Oryzias latipes: one gene and its partner. The protein of the gene in region 1 interacts with the protein of each later gene in a biochemical or structural test. Links are inferred from orthologs where the notes say so. Each region holds a gene or a part of one and is shown in the gene's direction. Other genes may lie near its edges.

Region 1 (12,785 bases):
AATGACCCATTTGTGGTGTGGATTTATGGAACGGACTGGTTGTAGGTTTAAAACAAAAACCTACAGGATGTCAATAGCCACGTTTACATGGGCAAAAGTAATCGGAATGAGCGCCTGATCGGAAAGAAAATGCGTCATGTAAACGCGCCGTTCGGAATAGTCTGCCCCGGTCAGACTCGTTCAGACCAGAATTTCTTTCCGATGGAGATAGGTGTGTTATACCGATCGTTTATCCGATCGTGGAGCATGTAAATGGTTCATTCTGATCGTGTGTCACTTCTGCTCTGGTTTACGTCACGCATAGACGGTGTTTTGCTGTGAGAAAGCTTTGGAGCTCATACGGGACCGATCAGCTGCTCTGCGGACGCCCCGTGAAAAGCGCCGCTCCGCTCTTGCCCCACTGGCTCTCCCCTCTCTTGCCCCCCGACGCTCACTCGGTCCACTGGCACCCGAGTGAGCAGAGCAGCCGGATTAATAATTTTGTGTCAGGGGGGGAGGATGCTTGTTACGTGTGCGTTTTGTTCTGTTATGTGTGGAAGAATTCAGACTGTGAGCCGTCCCGCCGCTCTGGGTTAGCGGCTGCAGGACTCAGGAGGAACCGTGTTCGAACAGAGCTCGGGCCGCTAGCTCACAGAGTGGCTTTGGGGCGGTGTGTTAACCTTTCAGAGCAGAAATAAATGTCGCTCAGTCCTTAGAAACTGTCCAAACAATCATGTGGATTTGTGTTTCCAGTCGTGTGCCGACAAAATAAAGGCTGATGTTATTCCCAGACATTTACGTGCAGCCAAGACGCAGATTGCTGTGTTTCTTGCACGGCCCTGGATTTTGTGTCCATCAAGGCTAATGATGTTAGCCCGTGTTAGCCTGCCCTAACCCTTCTTCCAGCTTAATTCTTCCACAAAAAAGCACTGACCACACGGATTAAATATAACGATGAGCGAACAGGCACTTCATAATATTCATGACATTAATAAAAGCACGTTTGGAAGATCGTCTCGTATTAGGGAGCTGCTGCACATGCTGTCTGTCTGTGGCAGTGGTTTGTTTACCACGGGACCTACTTCCTCATCCGGGTGATTTTACACTACTGCGCATGCCCAAATCATTCATTCCGACCGAAAGTGTGACCATGTGAAGGTTTGTTCTAATCGGAAAAAGGTTTTCTGTGCCCATGTGCACGGGTGAACTTTAACTCGACCATTGATCCGATCAAGATATTCTGCCCATGTAACCGCGGCTACTGATGGATCCGTTCAAGGCCAAAAATGCTGGATAAAAACAAACGTGTCACTTCTGCATAGGTGCTATGCAGATTGTAATGTGAATATTATGACCAAATTGTAAATAGAAATACGTAAATCATCAGGTGTTGTAAAAAAAAAAAGGGCAGAGTCATACATGATTTCTCTTCAACCCGCTCTTTTTCAAGCACACCATCTTGTTTTATCTATTTTAAACTCTAGTGTGTTTATTTTCATTTGTGTTTGAAATAAAGAAAATTGAATTGAATGTTTAATTTTATTTTTGAGTCATTTGATGCAGTTACGTTTTGAAAATGAAAAAGCATTTCTGTTCATCCATGTTAATTGTCAAATTAGACATTTCTAAATGAATTTTGCTACATATTTACCAGAGAACTTTTTGAAAATGAAATGTCAAATACCTTTTTCATTATAATTTTAATGAAGTGACAAAATAAGCTGTTTAAGTGGAAAATGAAAAACCATTTGACAGATTGATGACTCATTTTAATTTTGAGTCACAGCTTCATCGTGAAAATGAAAAAGCATTTCCAGTCTTGACTTTTATTTTGAATTATGAGACACATGTGCTTCCAAATACCCCCCACCCCCAGTCCAGGAGTGCATCCTTGTAGCACAGAGGCTCCTTGGTGAGCCACAGCCCAAGTATATGTGAACGCAGCATGTATGCATGTGCATTTCAACTAACAGCCCACCTGAACTCTCGGGTTGCATGGGGTTACAGTTACCTGATGATTGGGGACATGTGTTCATAGAAGACACATCTTCAAGTCAAGAAGACAAACATCCCAATGGCAGCAGGACGCTCAGTCAAGACATTCCCTCCTCTGGAAGCCTTTGCTGTGTTTGAAGCACTTTCAGATGTGGACTCGAGGAGCAGTGAAGAAGATTCTGTTGAAGAATCAGAGTCCATCCTCTGAGAACATGCCAGTACCAATGGATGAGACGTACACATAAAGACCAATGATTGCTGAGGAGGATGAGGAGAAGAAGCCTTCACCTGTAAAGGAAAAGTCCATTCAAGAAAAGCATCAACCTGTTGCAGACAAACAACGGTGCCAAAATGGCATGGTTACTGGAGAAAAGTCTTCCTGGTGGACTTGCATCAGCCAGGGCTGCCTGGTCCCCAAAACCTGTTTTCCTTAGATGTGTAATCACCAGAGAGGGGCGAGGGAGCCGAAGTGTGAGCTGTCCTGCACCTAGATCTAATGTGTAACTGGAGGGTCCAGTCATGAGGGTGACCACCACAACAATCAATTAAAAAGGGGAGGGGCACTGCAGCAGAACTTCCAGAGATTCTGGCTGAAAAATCCTTTCAGAGTCTCAGAAGGTTTTTTTTCATCTTTTGTCTTATAGATTTGTCATAAAAGCTGAGAGAAAACAGTTCAATGTTTCTATCCGCCGCTGAAGTGATGCAGCGCCCAGAAGGATGGACTAAACCGAAGTGAGCTTGAAAGTTAAAGTGTTAGCGGCGGAGAGTTGTCATGTTCCGCTGTGCAGTGACGGTTTTTGATATGGGCGGTCGCCTAGGGCAGAATTTTCCAGGGGGCGGCACGGACGAGGGGAAAAAAATCATTCATTATTTCCTTTCTCTAATTTGAATAGTGACGACATCCATTCTCGTTATCTGAAGGTTTAATTTAAATGTCAAACGGCGCCCTCTGCTGGACGACCCTGAAACTTGCGCCCTCACCTCTTTGCATAGTCTCTGGAACTTCAGGCAAAAAATTCAAGGGGGGGGGGATTCACCGATGGCTGGGTGAATCACACTCACAGGTAATTGGGAGTCTTTTTCAGTCTAACTCTGTCATTGTAGCTCAAACTACTTTCACACCAAATCACATTATGCATTCACCATGAATGTATTTTCAAACCCAATTCCAGTCTCCCAAACACTATGACAAGTATTGGTTTAGCCTGGGGGGTATTCCAGGAAGCATGTTTAAACTACCCTGACTTTAACCCTGAACTCTGCCTGAAATCCGCCTGAACTTGCTTACTCTGATGTAAACCTAAGACAACTTTATTAAACATGCACAATAATATTTGAAGAGTTAGGCTAAGGCTATTGTTAGCGTAAACGTTTAGTTCATCCAAACTAAATGTGTGCACTAAGATAATTAAATACAATTTTATATTCACTCATGTCCAATCAATTTTAATTAATTCCTTCACTCGTACTTTTATTAAAATAGCAAAAAACACAACATTATGAGCCGCTGTCACGTTATTTAGATATTTCTAATGACATATATTCAGTACTTTGTCTCTTATTCTCAGTATTATTAGAATTATTTTGTGGTTGTTCCTCAGCTTGTTGTCAGATATTGCATTAAATATATACAGCTGTGATCCCCTCTACTTCAAATATTTTGTAGGAATGTTCAGTTTTTCTATTCATATTAGATGCACTTCTAAAATATTTTTGGAGCAGCTGCTGTGGTCCCAGACGATACAGATGTCCCACAGCCATCTACCTCAGTCTGTCACTCAGAAGGAGACGGGATCACTTCAGAACCTCACTCAAAAAACGTTCACTTTGAATGAACATAAAAAAATTATGGAAAGGATTTCCACATGATTAGATTGCGTTACATGAACAAAAATGAATCATGTTGGTCCTACTTAATGTTAATATATTTAGGTTGGGTCAACTTAATGTATTTAGGTTGGGTCAACTTAATGTATTTAGGTTCAAACTAATAAATTTAAGTTGATTCAATTTAAATACAGCAGTTGCACCCAACTTTAAATTGATATTGTTGCTCACTCTAGAAAGAAGAAAGTTGATCCAATTTAATTGAATCACTTGAATTGGTCACACATAAGAAAATTAAGTTTATTTAACTTAAATTTCTATTTTTTTCTTTAATTTCATTTACACATCTGTAATTGATACTTTGTTCCAAAGTTACAACCTGTGGGTCTTTTAATTTTCATATCAATGACATGAATTACCCAGCAAGGTCCCACATCACAAGCCAGGAGCTCAATTGCCACAAACTCTGTGTTAAGTATTGGAACATTAGCATTCTACCACACCAGGGGGTTGGTCATCATCCTCTACCAAACTTTAACTCATGGTGCAAAAAAAAATAAACATAACAGTTTAAATCACTAGTTAAAACAGAGTAAAACAGCTAGACAATAAAACCCAGGGACAAAAACTCACACTTAGAGCCCAATCTGCCCAGATAGACAAAGAAAATGGTATCCCACAATTCCTTGCGATTACTAATGCATCCAATTTAATGGTATCACGTTGGATCAACATGATTGAAATTAGTAACTTTTAAATGGATTATTTTTATGTACAATCGACATGATTCATTCACGTAAGATTTACAAACATAAAATTTTCTGGTTGAAATGACAAGTTACTTTTTCGTTAACTTAATTGGCTGGTAATTTCCTTTTTTTGAGTGCTGTTTTGGGTCAGGATGCAGAACCAAACATTTCCACAGACGCTGAAGGCCCATTTGCATCTGATCCACAACAGCAAGAAACATCAGGTTTGCACATCATTTAAATTACTAGTGTAGTAGATATGATATGTATTTTTATAGTCACAGTGTGAACATAATTTCATGAAATGTATGATAATCCATACTGCCTCAAACATTTATTTATTCACAATATATGTGACTTTTTTAGGATTACAAACACAAAAACATCCACATCCATTACAGAGGCTTCAGTGGATGAAGAGCTGCCCCCTGACCCACTAACTGCCCCTCATGACTGACAGGAATCCAACACATCTGGTTTGCAGAGGAGGAATTCAGGTTCCATCCACATTTGTTTCTCTCAAGAATGAGAATGATAGAGGAAGCTGCCATCAGCAGTACTTCAGATGAACTTTAGTTAGTGGAGGAGAGGAGAAAAAACGTGGTTGGTGTACTTAAAAAAAAGGTTCTCGTGTTTTTGCTGCAGACCTTTTTCCAAAAGGAAAATGAGTTTAACAGACCCTGGATTAATGCCAGTTCTTTGATCACCTCACATGACAATAGATCCTATCCACTGCATGAAAACTAGAAAAGAATTAGATGTGAGGATAAGAAAGCTTAAGCTTATCAAAATGTTCCTAAGATCATCCAAGGCTCAAGATCAGCTACCTGGTCTGGTAGCTCTAATCATCAACCACTGAGAAACTAACAAACCAGGGTTTGACTGATGACTTTGCCCGTATTAATGCAAGACTGACACATTTTTAGTTTAAGAGAAGCAGACCAAGTTCATAGTGTAAGCTATGAGAATTTTTAATTTAATATTATGTATGTAGCCCAATATTAGCAAAGTTGTCTCAATAAGCTTCAAGCTTAAATTGCACTAGTTGTTAATAGATTTTTTACATGGAGGTCATTTCAAGCCTCAAGCAAACATGTGTGTTGTTATCCTTGTAAGACTTATTGTTACTTTTGGTATTTTTTTTCCAACAGTCCTATAAGCTGTACGAATTTACAAGCCTCTGGTTGCTTTTTAAAATAATTGTTAATAGTGAAATATTTGAACCATAAAGTAAACCATAATAAGCTGTTGTACTTTTCTGGGTAGTAACTGGGGGAAACTGAGGGGCGCTACTGGTGTGGCTGCCAGAACCGCCACTCCCGCTGTGGGTCGCAGCGGACCCGCCGCGAGGAGCGGAGCGGGACAGGTGAATTCTGACCCCCGTAACCATAGAGAGCCACAGAAATCTATCAAGCTGCGAAGTGAGCAACCTACAGTTGTGCTTTCAAAATAAAAGCATCGGCCTCTTCCTCAATGCTGCCGCTGCCTATCATAGTTTCAATTTGTCTTATTTTGAAAGTGTGGAGCGGAAATGGCCTAGTAGTTATCGAGAGCTTGACGGCTCCACCGTCTCCGAAGCCTTTAATGTTTCTGCACCGTAAAAAAACTTCAAAACCGCTCCGTTAGTTTTCTTTCCGGAAGTTTCCTCCCGGGTCCGCGCGGGATAGTCGCGCTGAATGCCCCGCAGCGACCCGCAGGTTGGGTTCGTCAAAGTTTGGGCCTGTCCCGGGACTTTCAGCAAACTGCGGGATGGACGCGCTGACGTCGAACGGATCCATCATGGACCTGGCCTCTAAGGTGGTGAAGATAAAAGCGCACTTCCGCGGGTAAGTGACCTCCTCCGGCGCGTGGACACCTGCGGAGCCAAGGCGGCGCGCGGTGTAGCGGGCCGGGCCGGGCCGGGCGCGCGGGCACACCTGCCGCCACAAGAATGAGTAAAACAAAAACACCGTTTCTGACTTTCTCACTGCAGGAAAGTTAAATAAGTCCACAAGTGAAAGCAGTGTGACCTGCTGGTCACCAGAAATATCAGACACTGAAAGGTTTGATGGACTTTCGGTCCCAAAGCCTCCATTCTCCTTCAGTTCGGGACATGAAGGTGAGCGCCGCAGTGGCTGATGGGTGGACTCTGACAGCAGGAACCCCAGAACGGTTCCTTCAAACCTGTCTGAGGAACTGGAGGTTCTTCACCCACGCAGGTCAGAGAACAGGTGGAAGTGAAGCAGAAGGACGTCACTAACCATGATCTAAAGGGAGACACGTGAACGCCTCTCCCAGTGTGTGTTCATCTGAACAAACCAGTAGTTGATAGAAATGAGTTTTATTTTGCTCTAGTTCAGAGGTGAACTTTCATTTCCTGTGTCTCCATTGATCTTTGAGCTTTGAAAACATCCCTCCTTGTGGTTTTAATGAGCTGTAGTTGTTGTGGGACCAGCGGTTGCCGGGGCGACCTGCTGCCTGGACTGAAGTTCATTCTTGCAGTGAGGAGTCCGGCTCTCCCTGTCACCTGAAGCTGAGGGGGAGGAGAGCTATTCTGATGAGGAGAACAAACATGATGAGTCTGGAACTAACCTTTAGCTTTGGTTCTCTATCCCACACATGAGGATTGAACAGGAAGTCTTTAAGCATCTATATTAAAGCAAAACTAATCATTTTAGTTCATATTTGTAATAAATCTTTGTTAATGATCCAAACTATTGACATATTAGATGTTAGATGCTGGCCTCCTATGTAGACAAGGGTCATTTGGACTAGGGCTGGGCGATATGGCCTAAAAATAAAATCTCTGATTTTATACTTTTTAATTCGATTTTAAGATTTTTCCCCCCGATGTCCCCCCCCCCCCCCCCCTTACTTAAGGAAAGCAATAAGTACAAACGGCAGACAACTTAAAGCAAATTTTGCTTTTATCTAATCAAACGCAAGACAAATGTAACCCCCATTTCTGGGATGAATAATAAGTACATGAACACACTCTTGGAATCAAAGTCCCAGCTGGGTTTTAAGTCACACTTTGTAGTCTAGACTAAAAGGAGACAAACATTCACCTTGAGAGTAGCACCATTTTCTAAAGGATTAACATTACAGCTCACATCTGGGATCTAAGGTTTTAATTCAATTAATAAACCCCGTCTTCTCCACGGTATCTATGGGTACCATCTCTTTGGCTATATGCCACCGTGCCCCTTTCATAGGGATGGGTACCGTGCCCCGGTATTGAACGAGCCCCGGGGCAACATTCTTCAAGACTGCAGTATCGTTAAGATCTGACCTCAACGGTTCTGCTATCTGTACTAGAGAAGTCGCATTTTTTCTGTGTCCCACAAGATATAAACAAGAGCTGTGACGGTGTGGGATTTTTTTTTTTTTTTTTTATAACTTTATTTATTGAACATTTTCTGTATTAAACAGACATACAGAGTGTAAAATGAAATGTAAAAAAGGCAATGTGTAAAAATAAACACTCACATGTCAACCCGTCCCACCCACCCCCGTCAACAACCCCCAGAGGCCAAGTCAGACACAAAAAAAATAAATAAATAAATAAAATAAATAAATAAAAAATAAAAAAGTAAATAAATAAAAAACACAAACCACTTGGGCTTTTTTTTTTCTTTTTTTTTAAAATAAGAAATACGTCCAGAAAAAAAAAAAAAAAAAAGAAAAAAAAAAAGGTAATTAAATACGTAGTAATAAGTGAGAAAACCAGGGTAACAGCAGTGGCTTTTTGTTGCACTGGTGCTCAGTCAGCCTCCAGATTGTGAGGAAATGTCAAGGAGTCCACATATTGTAGGAAAGGGCTCCAGGTCTCATGAAACACCCTGAGTGAGCCATGAAGTGAGTACCTAAGCCTCTCAAGTTTGAGATTGTAAAGCACCTCGCGGACCCAGCGGACATGCGAAGGGGGACGGGGGAGCTTCCAGTTCAGCAGGACCAGCCTGCGTGCTAATAGGGTGGTAAATGCAACGGCCCGCTTTAGTGCACTCGGCGTGTCTGAAGTTGGGGGGAGACCAAATATTGCCGACATGGGATTTGGTGTGACGGTGTATCTGTAAGCCCTCGTTAGTGTATCAAATACATCTGTCCAAAGAGCTGCGATCACTGGGCATGACCAAAACATATGGGCATGATTGGCAGGAGAGAGATGGCATCTGCTGCAGGCATCACTAATAGAAGGATAGATTTTGGCCAGTCTGGCATTGGTGTAATGGACCCTATAAACAATCTTACATTGAATCAATCTATGGCGGGCGCAAATAGAGGACAAATGGACAAGAGACAATGCCGACCTCCATTGTTGTTCCGTAATGTTAAGGTTTAGACCGTCTTCCCACGCAGTTTTGACAGTATCGGACGGCTTTGAGGATGCTGTCCAAATTGACTTGTAAACGCTTGAAATGCATCCATTAACAAAAGGGTCTTTGGAGAGAAGAACATCCAGAAGAGTTTCTGGTGGGCGATTTGGAAAATGAGGAAACAGTTTTTTAACATAGTCCCTGATCTGGAAGAAACGGAAGAGATGCTGATTCGGGAGGGCATATTTCTTTGACAATTGTTCAAATGAGGAAAATACATTGTTAGTGTATAAGTCAGAGATTGATTTAATCCCATTCCTGTGCCATAGTTTGAATGACAGATCTGTTTTGGACGGATCGAATCTGCAGTTTTTGTAGACTGATGTGAGGACTGTGGAATTTATAAGGCCGAAATGTTTCCTGAATTGACTCCAGATTTTCAAAGAAGTGGACACCACTGGGCAGGTATGGACACTGGGAAGGGGAAGCTGTGCACACAGTATTGAGCGCAGACAAAATTCTGAAGATTTCCCTTCCAGCTGAGTCCAGCTTGAAATGGCCTCATTGTCATCGTTCATCCAGAAAAGAAGTTTCTGGATGTTTGCTGCCCAATAATAAAATCTTAGGACTGGCAGGGCCAGTCCTCCCTCATCCTTCGGGGCTTGTAAGACTGATTTTCGGATACGAGCCGGCCTGCCCGACCATAAAAATGATGAAACGGTCCTGTCTAGCTTGTCAAAAAATGATTTGCCTAGGAAGATTGGAAGATGTTGGAATAGGTAAAGAAACCTGGGAAGGACGGCCATTTTGACCAGACTAACCCGACCTGCAAGCGAGATCGGCAGAGCTGACCAACGTAAAAAATCCCTCTCTGTCCTGTCAATCAGGGGGGTAAAGTTTGTATGGTAGAGCCCAGACAATAATGGGGTGACCTGGATGCCTAGATATCTGAACCCACCAGGTGACCACCGAAACGGAAAAGTAGAGGAAGGGATCATTCGGGCTAGGTCATTGATAGGCAAAAGTTCGCTCTTCTGATAATTAAGTTTGTAGCCAGATATATTGCTATACTCTTGTAGGATATTAAGGATGATGGGAACGGAGGTGATAGGGTCTGAAACGTAAAGCAAAAGATCATCCGCATATAGCGAGACCTTATGAACTGTGCCTAGACGCTTGATGCCAATAAAGGCTGCTTCTGAGCGTAACCAGATGGCCAATGGTTCAATAGCCAGAAGAAACAACAAAGGAGAAAGAGGACAGCCCTGCCTTGTGCCACGATGTAAAGAAAAGGAAGGAGAAAACGTATTGTTAGTGCGAACTGAAGCTTTGGGGGAAGAGTAAAGCAGTTTAACCCAGTCGACAAACCCTCCCCCCAGTCCAAATCGGGATAGAATGTTAAATAGAAAGCTCCACTCGACCCGATCGAAGGCTTTTTCTGCGTCAAGAGAGAGAATGACCTCAGGCATTACAGAGCAAGGCGAAGAAATTATGTTAAAAAGGCGTCTAGTATTACACGACGATAATCTGCCCGGCATGAAACCTGTCTGGTCCAAATTTATGATGGTAGACAAAACGCATTGTAGACGGGAAGCCAGAATTTTAGACAGAATTTTAAAGTCAACATTGAGAAGGGAAATGGGTCTGTAACTGCTGCAAAGTAGAGGGTCTTTGTCTTTCTTAAGGAGAAGAGATATTGTGGCTTCTGAGAGAGTGTTTGGAAGGCAGCCGGAGAGAAAGGCTTCATTATACATATCTTTTAAGAAGGGGCTAAGCACGGAGGAAAAGGTTTTGTAGTATTCAGTGGTAAAACCGTCAGGGCCAGGTGCCTTACCACTTTGGAGTGATTTGATGGCCTCAGAGACTTCTGCCGTAGTGATGGGTTTACCTAAAATTTCAGCATCCTCATCAGTGACACGTGGAAAAGTAATTTTATCAAGCGCAAGATCTGGAGAGTGTGGACACTCAGATGTATAAAGAGTCGAGTAGAACTTCGCAAATGTCTCGTTTACACTAACTGGGTCTGTGATCGTCACACCCGCTGGAGATAATATTGCTGGAATAAGCCTAGAAGATGCCTCAGCCCTTGCCTGGTATGAAAGAAGCTTCCCCGCCTTGTCACCCGATTCATAGAAACGTTGTCTGGATTTAAGCAGCAGCGTTCTGACCTCCGTGGTAGAGATAAGATCAAGCTCTGTCTGTAGTGCGAGTCGTTTCTTATACAAGTCTGGATCAAAACTAGCAGCTAATAATTGGTCTGTGTCCTTGATGTCGTTCAGAAGTAAATTTGTACGAGCAGACTCCACTTTCCTCTTATTAGAAATAAAAGAAATCAGTTGACCTCTAATGTACGCCTTTGAGGCCTCCCAGAGATTGCTTCTATTTGTTTCTGGCAGGTCATTAAATTCAAAAAATAGAGTTAGTTGTGATTGTATAAACTCTTTATAGGATTCCTCAGCTAGGAGGACGGCATTGAACCTCCACTGGTTCAACAGGCGAGGCCGGGAGAGTATGGCCAGATCAAGAGAAACCGGAGAATGGTCTGATATAGCTATACCGTGATAGTCGACAGAAACCAGATTAGACAGAAGTCGTACATCTAAAAGAAAAAAGTCAATACGAGAAAAGGTGCGATGAACATGAGAGAAGAATGAGAACGATTTTCCCCCCGGGAATTTATGCCCCCATGGGTCAGTAATACCGAACTGTTGAGAGAGAGTCGATAGCATTTTGGCTGCTCTAGTAGGGGGGGCAGAAGTGTTAGAAGATCGATCAAGCTGCGGATCCTGCACAAAATTAAAGTCACCACCCATAATTATATAGTGATTTTGGAGATCTGGAAAAGATGAAAAAAGTTTTTTAACAAAAGCACTGTCGTCCCAGTTAGGGCCGTAAACACAGATGAATAGAAAGGATGTTAGTTGAATCTTCCCAGAAACTATTACATATCTGCCATTCGGGTCTAGCACTGACTTTTCTGCAATAAAAGGAAGATCCTTATGGAAAATTATGGCTGCACCACGGGCCCTGCAATTAAATGTGGAGTGAAAGACTTCCCCCACCCAATGTTTTTTAAGTCGCACAACTTCCTTATTGGGCATGTGAGTTTCCTGGAGAAAATAAATATCTCCTTTAAGGCGATTTAAGTGGGTCATTACTCGCCCCAGTTTTGTAGCGACGGTGTGGGATTTTTGATCACCGCCAGATGAAGCAGCAGGAGTCGCGGTCAACCGCACCCCGCGCAACCCCCCCCCCCCCCCCCCCCCTCCACCGCAAATGTATACCGGTACAAGTCATAATTGCAACGCAGTATTCTTTATTAACAAATAACTGTAACAACTAACTATCTAACTAATGAAATAACTATATAGGTGTTGTAGAATGAGGATGCGTGTGTGTTGCAGAGGAATGAGCACATGCCATGCGAGAGTGAGTGACAGCGTGCACAGGTGTTGGGGTGCGTTCATGTTTGGAGTTAGGGAGTGAAGGAGAACAGTAATAAAAGGTTTCCCCCAGGTGTTGGAATAGGTTTGTGGTGCTGCTGCCTTTGACTGTGATGGGCTGTAGGGCTATGTTGTAGCGTGGGGGTGGGGGGGGGGGGGTCTCTTCTTCCACGTCTGTGGCAGTAAAGGATTTTATTCCTGTCTTGGGAACAAACTTCCCTCTCTCACCGGTAGCCATGCTGTCACTTGTTTCATGTGTGCTAGGATGTTGTTGTTTGTCGCTTGCCATACCGCCGTGTGAAACCAACGCTACGGAAGCTCTGGGGAGCCAAAAAATGCGCCATTACACAAAAACTTGATTTAGTTATTTTTTAAATCGCCCGTAACAAAGAATTCGAATTAATTCATTCAGTCGATTTTTCACCCAGGCCCAATCTGGACTATAATTAAAGTTCTGTTGACTCTAACTTAAATTAAACTGTTGCAGTGAAACAGAA
Region 2 (12,797 bases), about 28 Mb from region 1:
AGTTGCCATCTTGGGAGCAATGGGATGTAAAACCATGGGAAATGGACCCTGGGAGGCAAGGCTCCTCGGCTACATGGTGAGTGTTGCTATGCCTTTGTGAGGAGTGGGAATGAGGGAGGGCAGGGAGGAAGGGAGAGGTGGGAGACGCTGGAGGAGAGAGCTAGAGAGGCCTGGCAGACTGTGGGGGAGGCGGAGGCCTCATCTGCAGTGCTGTGTGCAGGGGGAGAGCTTCAGAGGGGGGCGGGGGATGTGGGTGAGATAGGAAAGGGAAGAAAATTGGGTGGAGGAAGAAGCTTGAGGGTGGGGGGAGTCGGAGACAAACACAAGGACCCACAGATGGGTGATGGAGAAGGAGGTGACGGGTGAGTATGCTGTCAGACACAAAGAGGCTGCAAAGACAATGAGGACCCCTGTCGATAACAGGAGGGGGGTGAGGATGGGGGGTAACTACAGCCGGGTCTGGGTCACAGTTTGGCATTTGTCCCCACCTGACCCGCTTTGTGCCTCCACCTGAGTGCAATAACCAGGTCCAAAAACACAATAACTGGTGCTGACCTGGGCAGAGGAGAGATGGGACGTGAGCCTCTGGTGTCTTCTACACACGGCGCCCCCTGAGGTGGGGCAAATGGAAACTAACTGAAAAGGTGGGGGGTGATTTTTTTTTTTTTTCTAAATACATTTTTTCTCCTGTTCTTTGTGGGTAAGTGCTGTAGCACGCCCTCCTTTTGACAGTTTCGTGCTACTGGAGGTCAGACAAACCACAGTGTCACACAAACCAGAGGCAGGGAGGTGGTGGTGATGGGTGGGGGGGGGGCTAAAGAAAGCCAATGCAGACTATCGGGAGACAAGAGGCCTCATCTGCAGTGCCTCGTAATGGAGGTTGGGGATGGGGGGAGGGGGGGGGGTAAATGAGGGAGGAAATGGGAGTGGGAGGGATAGACGAGAGAGATGGTTCCCACTTCTGGCTCCTCCTTCACTATGAAGATAATTATGAAAGAGATTACAAATTATTCATGAGATGAATGCCTTGGACCATTCAGAAAGTAAAGTTTATTTTCTGAAGACATCAAACTGAACCTTCTTTTCTCCTGTTTTTTTACCTGTTTTTATGTGCCAGAACAAAATCCAGCAAACAGGGTCCTCATTTTGGGCCAACAATTGGATAAATAACCAAACAACCATATTGATATGAAATCAATATTTAATGAAAATTACACAGAAATACAATAGCAGAGTGAAATACAGCATCCCAAGGATTCATCATACAGTCCTGTCAGGATTCTGTCCAAAGTATCAGATTATATGGACTGTTAGAGTTACGTAATTATCATTTGCTCACACGCTATTATCAGCATAATATGATTGTCTCAGTTCTATCTTTCAGTAAGTAAACAATGACCTGAAAAGTTCTGATTATACAAGAATATGATGTTCCTGTAGTTCCTGATTAAATGACCCTCGTTCATGTTTGCAACCTTCAGTTTTCAATTAAAAGAGGCTCCATGCACTAGGAAGGCAGAACTCCTCCGTGACAGTTCGCGCTGTGACAGACCGATTCTCATTCTCATCTCCTGTGTGGTTCTTCTCTTTTATTAAGGAAAAAGTCAGAACCCTGACATGGACGTTTTTAATTATAAAGCTTACTTGAAAGATCATTTCTTTACATATGCTCTAGGAACAAAAATTAAATCTCTTGTTTTTGCTTTTTTATGATAATAAATCTCAGATTTTTTTCTCTGTTTTTGCAGAAAATTTCTTGTAAATGTAACAGATTTTGTTTTCTCAATGATGTGATCACATTCCAGAATATTTCTTTAAAGACAAAAAAAAAAATTAACTTCTATAAACACGTTTCCAGAATTTTTTCTAAAAGATGTGAAACAAGCCGAGGATCTTTGAGCCTTGCTGGCGTCGACATAGATCTTTGCTTGCTGCTCTGCTCTGTCGTTGGTTTGCTGCCATGCGGGGGATTTTTAATGCTTCATTTTTCAGCCCTTTTTTTTGTTAAAGGTTTCCTTTTGTTATTGCTGGTATCTGATTTCATATTTATATGTAACTTTCATTTATAACTTTTAATCAGTTTGAATTTATACAAACATTAAAGTCCCAACAGCTTTAAGTTGAAACAAAAAGGTATGAAAACATTTTCTTTACCTCAAAGTTTTTAACCTTTCATCGTTATATTTGAAGGTTTCAGGAATTTCAATTGGACATTATTTCCATTTTATTGAAAGTATTTGAAATGTTTGTTTTAAATTTTGAGCGTTTCCTCTGTTCTAATAAATGATTGGCATAAATTCTAGAGGTGTGTATCGGCAAGAATCTGGCGATACGATACGCATCCCGCGATACGATACCTATCATGATATTTTACTGGAACACTTTTTTTGTTTTGTTTAAGAGTTTGACTTAGAAAAAAACTCTACCTCAATATCAATAAATGAATTGTAAAATTCCTTTTTATTTAATGATCACAACGTTAAGCAATGCAACTCTATCTCATATGTAAGTTGTTTTGACCTAAGCAAATTCACAGTGCTTTTATTTTAGTTATTTAAAATATATTTGTTCTTAAAGGGGACAGTCAATTTCAACAGTCTGATTTCACAACAAAATATTTTTAGTATGAGGGAAAAAAATAGAATGAATGTGCCTTAAACAATGAGGTTCTAAAAGTATGATTCTGTTTATTTCCATTATTGCTTAATGTAACTTCTCCAGTTCTTTGAAAATGCTAAATTTATGTTTTTTAAATGTGAAAAGTAGTTAATGTCTAGAATCTATTTTACAAATAAACCAAATACAGAAAGTGGATGGGTTCTAACTGTAGATTAAGCAGCACAATAAAGGTTTCAACACTATTTTGTTTGAAAATAGTCTTGTTTGTTTGAGAGATTTTGCAAGAAACCCAGATACCTTTCAGCAGTCCGTCCAATGAAAGGGTGGTGGTGTTGGTGAGATGTAAACGTAGAGGATGCAGAGCAGAAATGTGCTTCTCTGTGACTTCTGCTGCCACTAAACGTAGGTGGACAGAGGACGTCTGCAGACGCACAGCGGACATGGACTTTAGGGAAGCAGGGAGGGAGGTCACTTAAGGTCATTGAAGCTGTAACGATGGTATTTCCGAAAAATGCGCTGAAAGTGGAGCTCAAAGGTTTGGAGACATGTAGGATCAAACAGGTGAAACAGTAAAAATGAAAAGTAAAACTTTAATATATAAAATTGAAGCCTAATGTAGGGTTTTAGATGGAGAAGGTCATGGAACAGCATCTCAATCAAATGAAAGGCTGGACTGGAACTAAAACATTACAAAGGTGGGAAAAAAACATACAAATCAGGATAAATAAACAATGCAGATTCCCTTCAAATAAAATCACATTTTCTATTCAATAGTCTCATTTTTCCAAGAGGTTAAGGAGCCCTTGGCTGCACGCCGTGTACTTTGATAGTATGACATTTAATTGGATTTTATCACTAATCATGTTCATAAATGTGACAAATTGCACAGTGCTGTACTTATTTAAATCAAAAATATTCACTGCTATTCTTTCTCTTTCTTGTTTCAATATCTAACATTTGCCTTTCGTGATGCTGCCAATCTATCATTTTTACACTCGGTTTACATTTCTTAGATGACGGATGTGGTTTCACCGATGCTTGTTTATATGTATTTTCTGTTTTGAAATGTGCTGCCTTGTTGGCCAGGACTCCCTTGCAAAAGAGGTTTTTAATCTCAATGGGACTTTCCTGGTTAAATAAAGGTTAAATAAAAAAAGAAAAGAAAATAGAAGTGTTACCATACTGACAACCCAACTCCATTAGCAGCTTTTGTGTTTTTTTTGGCCAGTAGATGTCCCCACACACACGCACATACACACCAGGCTGTACATATTCATCACAGCATCTTTCACAGACAAAAAGACAACACAAAAGTTTATTGTTTTATTCATTTTAAAGACCATTTTAATGGAATCTTCGTGGTTTTACCTATTTTTACTTAATCTTTTCAGACAAAATGATAATTAGAAACCACTATTTTCTCCTCTGAATGATCAGCTGTCTGTTTTTCAGCACAACACAAGAACAAATGATTTTTATTATTTATAATTATTTACAGTTTTTGCTTTAAAAGGAGTATTTTTTTTTTGAAAGTTGAGTTGCTTGAAAAGTTGGAACAAAGCCCCCCACCCCGACACTCACATGCACTGGGTAACAGTTGATGTGTTGTTTTACAGACTTTTCAGAGCAAAATCTACCAAAAGAGGGAGCATGTTCTGACTCAGACTGTGAGGGTATGGAAAAAAGTGAATAAATTGCAGGCATAGATAAAAACAACATTGACTTAGTTTGCAGCCATTGAAAGTCTGTTTCTATTGTAACGATCCGGCCGGACCGTCACTTTAGTGGGATAGCGAAAGCCAACTGCTCATGAAGTGGTCCTAATGGAAATCTGTCCGTGCCCCATACACCGCACGACCCCTGACAGTCTCAGGTTGGAAGAAACGTAGAGAGAGACAATATTAGCTTTTAAGCAAAAAGCCTGTTCATTCCAGCCAATATACAGCCCAAACAGCATGGATCGTGACTTCAGCTTCCAGCCCTCTGACTCAAGGTTTGACCCTAAGCTCCCCACTTCCCATGAGCCTTAGGGGCTGAAGGCGGGGCTAACCCCCAGGTCGCTACACTATCATCACTGATTTCGGTCGTCCGTCCCCGCTCTTCAACGCTCCCTCCAACCCAAATACAATCTAAACTGTTTTAACCCAAAATGACAAGTGGACTTTATCATGGCTTCACTTCTGCACCAAACTAAAATGAGAGTAAAATCCCTTAAAATTGGTTTCAATGCTTTTCTTGGTCCAATTCACCAAGTTTTCAATTTTTGGGAGCAAGTTAACTTTTTTGCTTTGCCAAAAAGCTAAAACATCTGTTTGCATTTGTCAATGGTGCCAGCTTGAGTCCAAACTTGAGATAAAATGTTTATTCCTGATCTGATTTATTTTATATGATAATTTGATTGTTTTAGCACATTTAAGGTAACCATTTATCGTGATTTTTGCCAACTTTTGCGATATGCGTATTGCACAGCTTATGTTGCGATAACGTTGCATCTGCAATTTATTGGGAAGGGCTTAATAACTTCAAGTAAAAAATATATGTATATTTTTTATTTAGTAGGAAAAAAATATTTATGGTAATAATAATAATCATACTTCATAAATTAAAAGTAAACCCATCACCCAAATTTCCTTTATTTTCCTGAAATGATGGTGTACATTTTGAATCAACGTAGACATTTTTTATTGAAAATGTAAAAAATGTTTTTTGAATGTCTGCCACTTTAAATATTATCCCTAATCCACATTATCTGTCCCTCGACGGTACAGAAATATTGTTTGTATTTATTAAAAGTTTTTCTCATGACGTCCTTGTTCAAAATAGTGATAAATATGAGTCTTATTTTGAAGTTTTAAATGTATTGAAATGTCAACGACTCTTATTTTGAAGGGCGCAGCTTTCCAGGCACTCGGAGGGCGGCTGGGCATTCAGCCGAGAAGAGTCGCAAAGACACAACCGGACGCAGCGCGAGGTCCACGCACAGCGGCAGCTATGAGACGAGAGAAGTTCACGCGCTGAGCCAGGCGGGTTGACAGCCTTCGTTGGACACTTCCGGACCGATATAAACGAACCGGCGCACGCGGAGGAGAACCGGGACGTCTTCTGCTGCTGTCGGAGAAGTGACTGGCGGACGCTTTTTTTTGGGGGGGGGGGATACGCGGCTGCGGCAGGAGGAGCGGAGAGAGAGGGTGTGCTTCGGCGGCTGTCCCGCTGCTAGCGAAACATGAACAAAAACCACCGAGTGCCGAGCAGCCGTTCTTTGAGTGCCGTGGAGGTGAAGAGCAAGGTGATCCCTGGACTCCTTTACCGTTTCCGTTCGATGTGTTTGTGATCGCAACTCCGCGGTCATTAATCTGTCACTCTTGCTAATTTAGCCTGCTAAGTAGCCCGGTACCAGATTAATGATGGCGCAAAAAAACACATGAACAAAATGTTAAACATTTTTGTGTTATTGTTTCCACAACATCGATCGAGACGTCGACGCGCCGCCAAACGTGAGAGTGGCGTCGTCGTTCTTCTCGGTGTAGTTCGAGGGTTTACGTTAACGTCAGTTGACGCCGCGGTGAGCTCGTGTCACCTGTCACCGCTTCCTCCGCCGCTCCCGCCACCCGTTCACTAAAGTTTAGAGCCGGGGTTCTTACCGCTTTTCCCTCCCGGGGGGATGGGGGGGGGGGGGGGGCATTCGCGGGACTTTTCTCATCTTTCTAGTTGATTGAAACTACCGGAGGAAGGCAGGAGCGGCTGCCCCGAACTTAGGGCGACGTCGCCCCTCCCGCGTGCACAGGTGTCATTCGGCCTGCGACAGGCCGGCTCCTTCCGCCAGAGCCTGCTTGTTGCATGATTACACACACCGTTGACAGAATAGGCTCTTTTTTTTAGCGCCTCTAAACTCGTTTTTGTTCATGTGTGCGCATGTCGACACAAACTACAACCGTCCCTCTGTTGATTCTACGGAGTTCTGCTCTACAATTTGTGTTTTGGGAGTTTTATATTTTGTTATTTGGTCATTTTCTACTCATCCCTGGTTCTATTTAGGGTGTCTCCTCCCAAAAACCTGAGCCTAACACACTTCTTTTGGTGTAAACCTGGCCAAGTTGGCACTGAATTCTCATCATCTTTTGTGGAGCTTGGCAACAGTAACCACAACAACCCGTCCGTATTCATCAACATTAGCCAGGAGACATTATAGTACAGAGTCTCTGAGCTGCACTGAAGAGCTCAGACGGCGTGTTAGAATGCAGCTTTTATAAAAAAAAAAAACTGATTAACTCTATTTACTGCATCCATGTTTCATTTAGAAACCCTATTATTCATGTTTTACAGACAATACTGGTAGTTGAACACCTACATGTTCGTATTGTAATTAATGCTGACAAAACTTTATTTTTATTTTTTTTGCGGGTCAGTTTGGTGCAGAGTTTCGTCGGTTCTCTCTGGATCGGTCGAAGCCGGGGCGCTTTGATGAGTTCTACGGCCTTCTGCAGCACGTGCACCGCATCCCCAACGTGGAGCTGTTGGTGGGCTACGCCGACGTGCACGGCGACCTGCTGCCCATCAACAACGATGACAACTACCACAAGGCCATCTCCACGGCCAACCCTCTGCTCAGGCTGTTTCTGCAGAGGAAAGGTAAGAACAGGAAGACTTTGAACTGCTCTGTGCTTGTCTGAGAGGTGAAAACTGCTCACCTGAACAGAAATGATCAAATGTATACAATGCTCTGCTGAAGGTTTCGGGATTTAAAAGGATATTTAAAGAGCCACTCCGATGAAAATGCAGTTTTTCAGCATGTTCTTGTGGCTTTTTTTTGGTGTCGGAGGACATATTCAAAGAACATTTAGCTCAAAGTTGCATTTCTGAGTATTTCTGTGTTCAAATCTATGTGAATCAGGAGCAGACAAAAAATGCTGTTTGAAAATGAGCATCTTTGTGACGCAGAAAATACACTTGGTGAGTGACAGACAAGCTCCCGCTCTGACCTCTCTGCACCAGGGAGAGGAAGCGGGGCGGGGTTGCCCCGTGCTCAGAGGCAAATTTCTAATGAACTACTGCAACCCTGCAGTAAACTATGTCCTAGAAAATGACACAAGTGTTTGGATTTGAGCAAAATTGTGACATAATCATTGTTAAAATACCACCGGGAACGCTTTGAAAATAGATCAAAAGATGGAAGGCGGCTTTAGAAACAGGGGTTTTATTAATTTGTTAAATTGATAATGCATTGGAGAGCCATGTTTAGCTGTAATCATAGATCTGGATGCTTTCCGAAACCTTTTTGTTTGTTTTCCAGCTCTGACCGGAGTATTTCTAGGTTTGAAACTTAAAAAAAAATGTTTGGAAAAATGTCCTCACTTCTTTTTAATACTTTTTTTTAGAAGTAGATGTTTGGATTTTGTGTTCTGCTCCTGTGCTGTTGAGCATTTCCAGGAAATGGTGTTGAAAAATGAGGATTTTTTTTTTTTTTTTTTTTTACCATCTGTCTCCTTGGGGTCAAATTTGACCCTCCTTTCGGGTTTTTAAACTTACTTGGCAACTGGGGAGTTTCCGAGCGTGACCTGTTGAACGTCCCCGCCCCCCTGGGTGTGCTTGATCGGGGCAAACCTCGTGTGTTTAAGCCGTCCCGCTGTGCCATATGACTGTATAGAGGCTAAGCCACTTTGTCAGGAGGAGATTAGTGGGGGTCACCGTGCAGTGCTGCATGGGACGGTGTTTCTATGACACGCTACAAAGGCAAACCCACGCTGCGTCTGCTGCCGTTCGTAAACACAGCAGCAAAAACGACGCATGCTAACGGAGGCTACCAGGCTGCAGACATACAAGCTGTGTGCCGCCACACGCCACGTTGAAAAATGGGAATAGAGGAAATGGGGGGGGGGGTGACTTAATGCAGTACCCCACAGACTCCATTAACTTCAGAGCTTAGTATCTCTGCTGATTTGTTACTACCCCCCCTGTCAGGCACCAGTTGGTCCCAGCTTAATAACTCAACAGACGCAGAAAATTGCCTTTGAAAATGATTCAGAATTTGCCTTCATTTTTTTTAGAATAAAAAGGAAAGGAACTTAAGCAACAATCTGATTTCAGTGTATTACAACCACACAAATCAATTTTCAATTGTGTCAAACTGGAAATGAAATAAATATAGTCGATTTGAATAATAGAAAATGCATCGGCAGCATCTGAACAGAGTTCAGCTTTCTTAAAAAGCTGTGTATTGTTGACTTTGGATCATAAATAGCTTTAAGAGGAATTGTGGCAGAGAGACGGATGCTCCTGTGGTGAACCTGTGGCAATATTTGCACAACCATCCATCCATGTGGAAAAAAAATGACGCGTTTCTTCTGTAATCTCCTGCGATTGAAGGAGGTGAGGCTCCAGCAAACAGAGGAGGCCTAAAGTGGATCCTGGGGTTTCACGGCAGCTCCTTCATGAAAGCACAGGGGTGTCGGTATGCGTCCGTCTCATGACACACGGAGGGCAGGAATTTGCAGCAATGCGAGAAAACATTTCGACGCGTGCTTGTGAAGGAGCATTCAGGAGACATTAAACAATAACACCAACGTCCTGCAGTTTGTTTTGCATTATGTCAGTTCATGTAAACTTTTTCTGAGTACGGTAGTTGATATGATAGAAACAAAAGGCTAAATATTTTGTAAACATGCATGCTTTTAATGGGTTTTAGCGTGGGTTTTTTGCCTAGACAGGACACTGAACCAGTTTAGAGTGTTATGCTTTGAGTCACAAATTTTGAAAGCCTGAACTTTCCTGTTTTGGGGTATAGTGCTCCCTCACTATGTCGCAGTTTTGCAGATTTTGTCAGTACAATTTTGCATGCTGTTATTAATTATTTTAAATATATATATATATATTTTGTTTTTTTTTTTACACAGCACACTGTGTTCTGCATCCCATGTGGCTTTAGACCATGTCAATCAGTCTCGTTTGTACCGTGTCTCCTGTACAGAATGCCTTCAGTTTACCAAAATGACATCAACCTTTGATCACGAGCCGATCTCTGGTTTTATTCTACGATACTGGAATAATTTTTCTATCAAACTTCGAACTTTGAGAGGTTGAAGAGATAAAAGTGTGTAGTTAGGGGTTTTACAGCTTTTAAACATCTGTAACCCTATTTGGTGGATTTCTGCGATGGCAGGTTATTTCTAAAACATTACCTCCGCAATAAATGAAGGAACCGATCCACTTTGACCGGTACATTTAGAAAAATCGGTCTAGTTATGAGAGTAACGGCCGTTCTGACCAAGATTATGTCGGTAAAAATTTATTAAATTGTTAAAGAAGTAAATAACCAGTTTGTCGGTTTCTCTTCCTGTTGTGTCTCTGCTGTCTTTGCCTTTTCATGTACATGTGATGCAGACAAAAAGACGTCCAATCATAAGCTTGCTTCTGCCAAACGGCCTGAGATGAATTGAAGAAGTTATGGCAAAAAGCATTTCATTTTTGTTGCTCAAAATCTAAAACAAGTTTATCTACTAAAAGGCGTTTTCATGTATGTTTTTAAATGCCAAATGTATAATAAATATCTAGATTGGATCCATTTAGGGATAAAAGTTGTACTGTATCATATCACCACAAAATGAGTTGAATCTTTTATGTTTTTAAGCGTGGACAGCGTACGCCGATGCTTATTGAATCATGGGAGAGGGGAAGGTACACCCCCCAAACGTTGACTGATGGTTTTTGAAGAGTTTAGCGTCACAGCAGATGGTGTGTGATATTCCTGGCCTTCTGCGCGCTCCTTCTACCGCTGTGCAGATGCTTCAGTGCATGGTTGTTGGGCTGTGAGTGTGTTGTTGCATTGTTGCAGTCTGGTTCCTGAAGAAAGCCCACATTGTTGTTGTTTGTGCGTACGCCCGCTGTCACAGAGCTGCTGTTGAGGCGTTCGGGGAAGGATGTGTGACCCGCTTCCCTCTGTGCCAGTCATTTTGGAAGGTTTTCTCCGTCCACCGGTGGACATCCCCTCTAACCACGCCCGTGTTGTGAACGATGTGTTGAGCTGCCGGTGATGTGTAGGCTTCAAGAGGCTTTCCATAGGTGGGGTCTCCTGACAGAGAGGTTTATGTCAGGACTGTTGGGTTTGTTATTTTGAAATGTGTGTCATACAAACAGGCTGGGTTACCTGATAGAGCTGTAATGAGGAGGAAGCGACACCCAGACAGCATGACATCACTCCGAAAGGAGATTTGCTTGGAGGCATTTCCTAAACGTCAGTGTTGGGTTTCTTTTCTACGCAAGCTAAGCATTCTTGACGATCTTTGCACCAGCATTCAGCTGCTGCAGGCGAAATATTAAGGTGAATAATGCCGAGGTCATTTATCTCTTGGAATATTTTTGTTATTGTTCTCATGTGAAGGATTTCTATTTTTGTAACGGTAAGGAGCAGCTGCCAGCCGCTCAGATACAAAGCTGTTTCTGGCTCACAGTCACCCCGTCTGACATTTGTTGTTTTTGTTGTTTAAGAGGATTAAAAAAAGGTCAGAGGAATGATCGATAACCTGCTGATTGGTAACAAAACCCATGTCAGGCTTTAAAAAATATCACGATTTCCTTAAATTTATAATATTTTTAAGTTTTTTTTTCTTGTAGAAGAAAAACTCGACACACCGGGGGGAAAAAAGCTTTAAAGTCTCACTCTGATCATCTTATGATCTAGTTTTTAAAGCTTTCCCATTGGTCTTTATGATTCTGCTGTTTTTAGCCCATATCAAAAAACTTTGTTGTTTTCTAGGACACGGTTTCTGTAAAGCGGCGGGATTGTTGGCTGGGAGCAACCCCACCCCCCTTCCTCTCGCCCATAACTCTGGGCTTTCTGCTTAGGGTACACTCTCTCTCTAGCTCTCAGCCGCTCACAGCCCCAACTTGACATTAGCGGTCCATCAAAAATGGCGAGCAATATCAGAACTATCCATTGGTACAGTTTAGATCCAGATTCCAGCTCAGACGAGGAAAACAAAGACGTTGATGGATCCATTTGTCTACTAGTGAATTTATCAAAATGAAGCTTGTGGCCCCACCCAGAGTATTTTCTTTGTCACCAATACGATGTTTTACCAACAACTTTTGTTCGTCTGCTCCTGAATTACTATGGCTTCAATAAAGAAATGCTCAGAAATGCAATTTTGAGCTTGAATTTCCCTATATGTGTCCTCCATCATGAGAAAAATGACACTTGAACATGTTAAAAACACCCAAAACACCATTTTTATCAGTGGGTCTTTGAACATGAGAGATTTCTTTCCTTGTTCTCCATTTGCTATTTTTTAAGTGCAAAAGACAATGTGAACCTGAAAGCATTCGTCATCCGAATCGTAATTTGAGCTCAGACCGGATCACATTTCTTTAACATACCTTTGCAAAGGCCGAGCATATTCGGAGGGACAGGAATGCCTTTATTTACCTATCATAGCTGAGACTGCCTTTGCAGTTAGTAACCTGTGCATGAGTCATCGAGCCAGAGTCATGGAAATGTGGACTGTGAAAGTTCACACACATGCACTGCAATACGAAAAACAAAAAAGTACTTTTGTCAGAGGGGAAATATGGCAGCTCCAGAAGCAGATGAAAAATAGAACATGATTAAAGACAGACTGAATGAGGACGGCGCCACGCGAGAAGCGCTCAGATCAAGAGACTGTAGCGGCGTTCAAGCGACAGGTGTAAATGTCGCCGTTTGTCAAGTCAAAGAATCCTCCTTTGGGTTGAAACTCTTCCTCTGAGCATGCATTATTCTGAAGGATGGTGCATGTAATGAGCAGATGATGGATTCAGCGATCGAGAAGGAATGTGAGGGGGGGTTGCTGGGGTCTATTGGGATGGACGGGAGGCAGAGTTAACGGCACGCCGGTCTGAGTAAGGCAGAAAGCATTGTTGTGGCAAGGCACATAATTAGTGAGGAGAGGGAGTCGTGTAAATGTGATAAGAACACAAGGAGAGGTAAGAGGAGAGGGAGTGGGAAGAGTATTAGCGAGGGAGGAATGCAGAGGGAGGCCCGAGCTGGGGAGGGAAAGAAAAAAAAGAGAGTGGGAGAGGGATGGATGAATGGAGGGGGTGGGGGGGTTTCCTGGGTGGAATGTGGCCAGCGTCTGATCACGTCTGCTGGCTCGATTTGCCGGGACAGGCCGACTGGATCCCGCATTCGGGGATGTGGCTTCAGTCGG

What was found.
Region 2: the proteins of prkcz (region 1) and pard6b form a complex in vitro, tested with the Homo sapiens proteins (2 studies listed by BioGRID). The link is inferred for Oryzias latipes from reciprocal best matches to the Homo sapiens genes PRKCZ and PARD6B.

What each region holds. Positions count from the first base shown.
Region 1 is NC_019865.2:32,859,919-32,872,703, forward strand, and holds the start of prkcz (protein kinase C zeta type), read left to right. Parts: upstream 1-6,087; 5' UTR 6,088-6,299; coding exon 6,300-6,376; intron 6,377-12,785. UniProt on the Homo sapiens protein: Calcium- and diacylglycerol-independent serine/threonine-protein kinase that functions in phosphatidylinositol 3-kinase (PI3K) pathway and mitogen-activated protein (MAP) kinase cascade, and is involved in NF-kappa-B activation, mitogenic signaling, cell proliferation, cell polarity, inflammatory response and maintenance of long-term potentiation (LTP).
Region 2 is NC_019865.2:4,510,517-4,523,313, reverse strand, and holds the start of pard6b (partitioning defective 6 homolog beta), read left to right. Parts: upstream 1-5,528; 5' UTR 5,529-5,842; coding exon 5,843-5,905; intron 5,906-7,025; coding exon 7,026-7,248; intron 7,249-12,797. UniProt on the Homo sapiens protein: Adapter protein involved in asymmetrical cell division and cell polarization processes. Probably involved in formation of epithelial tight junctions.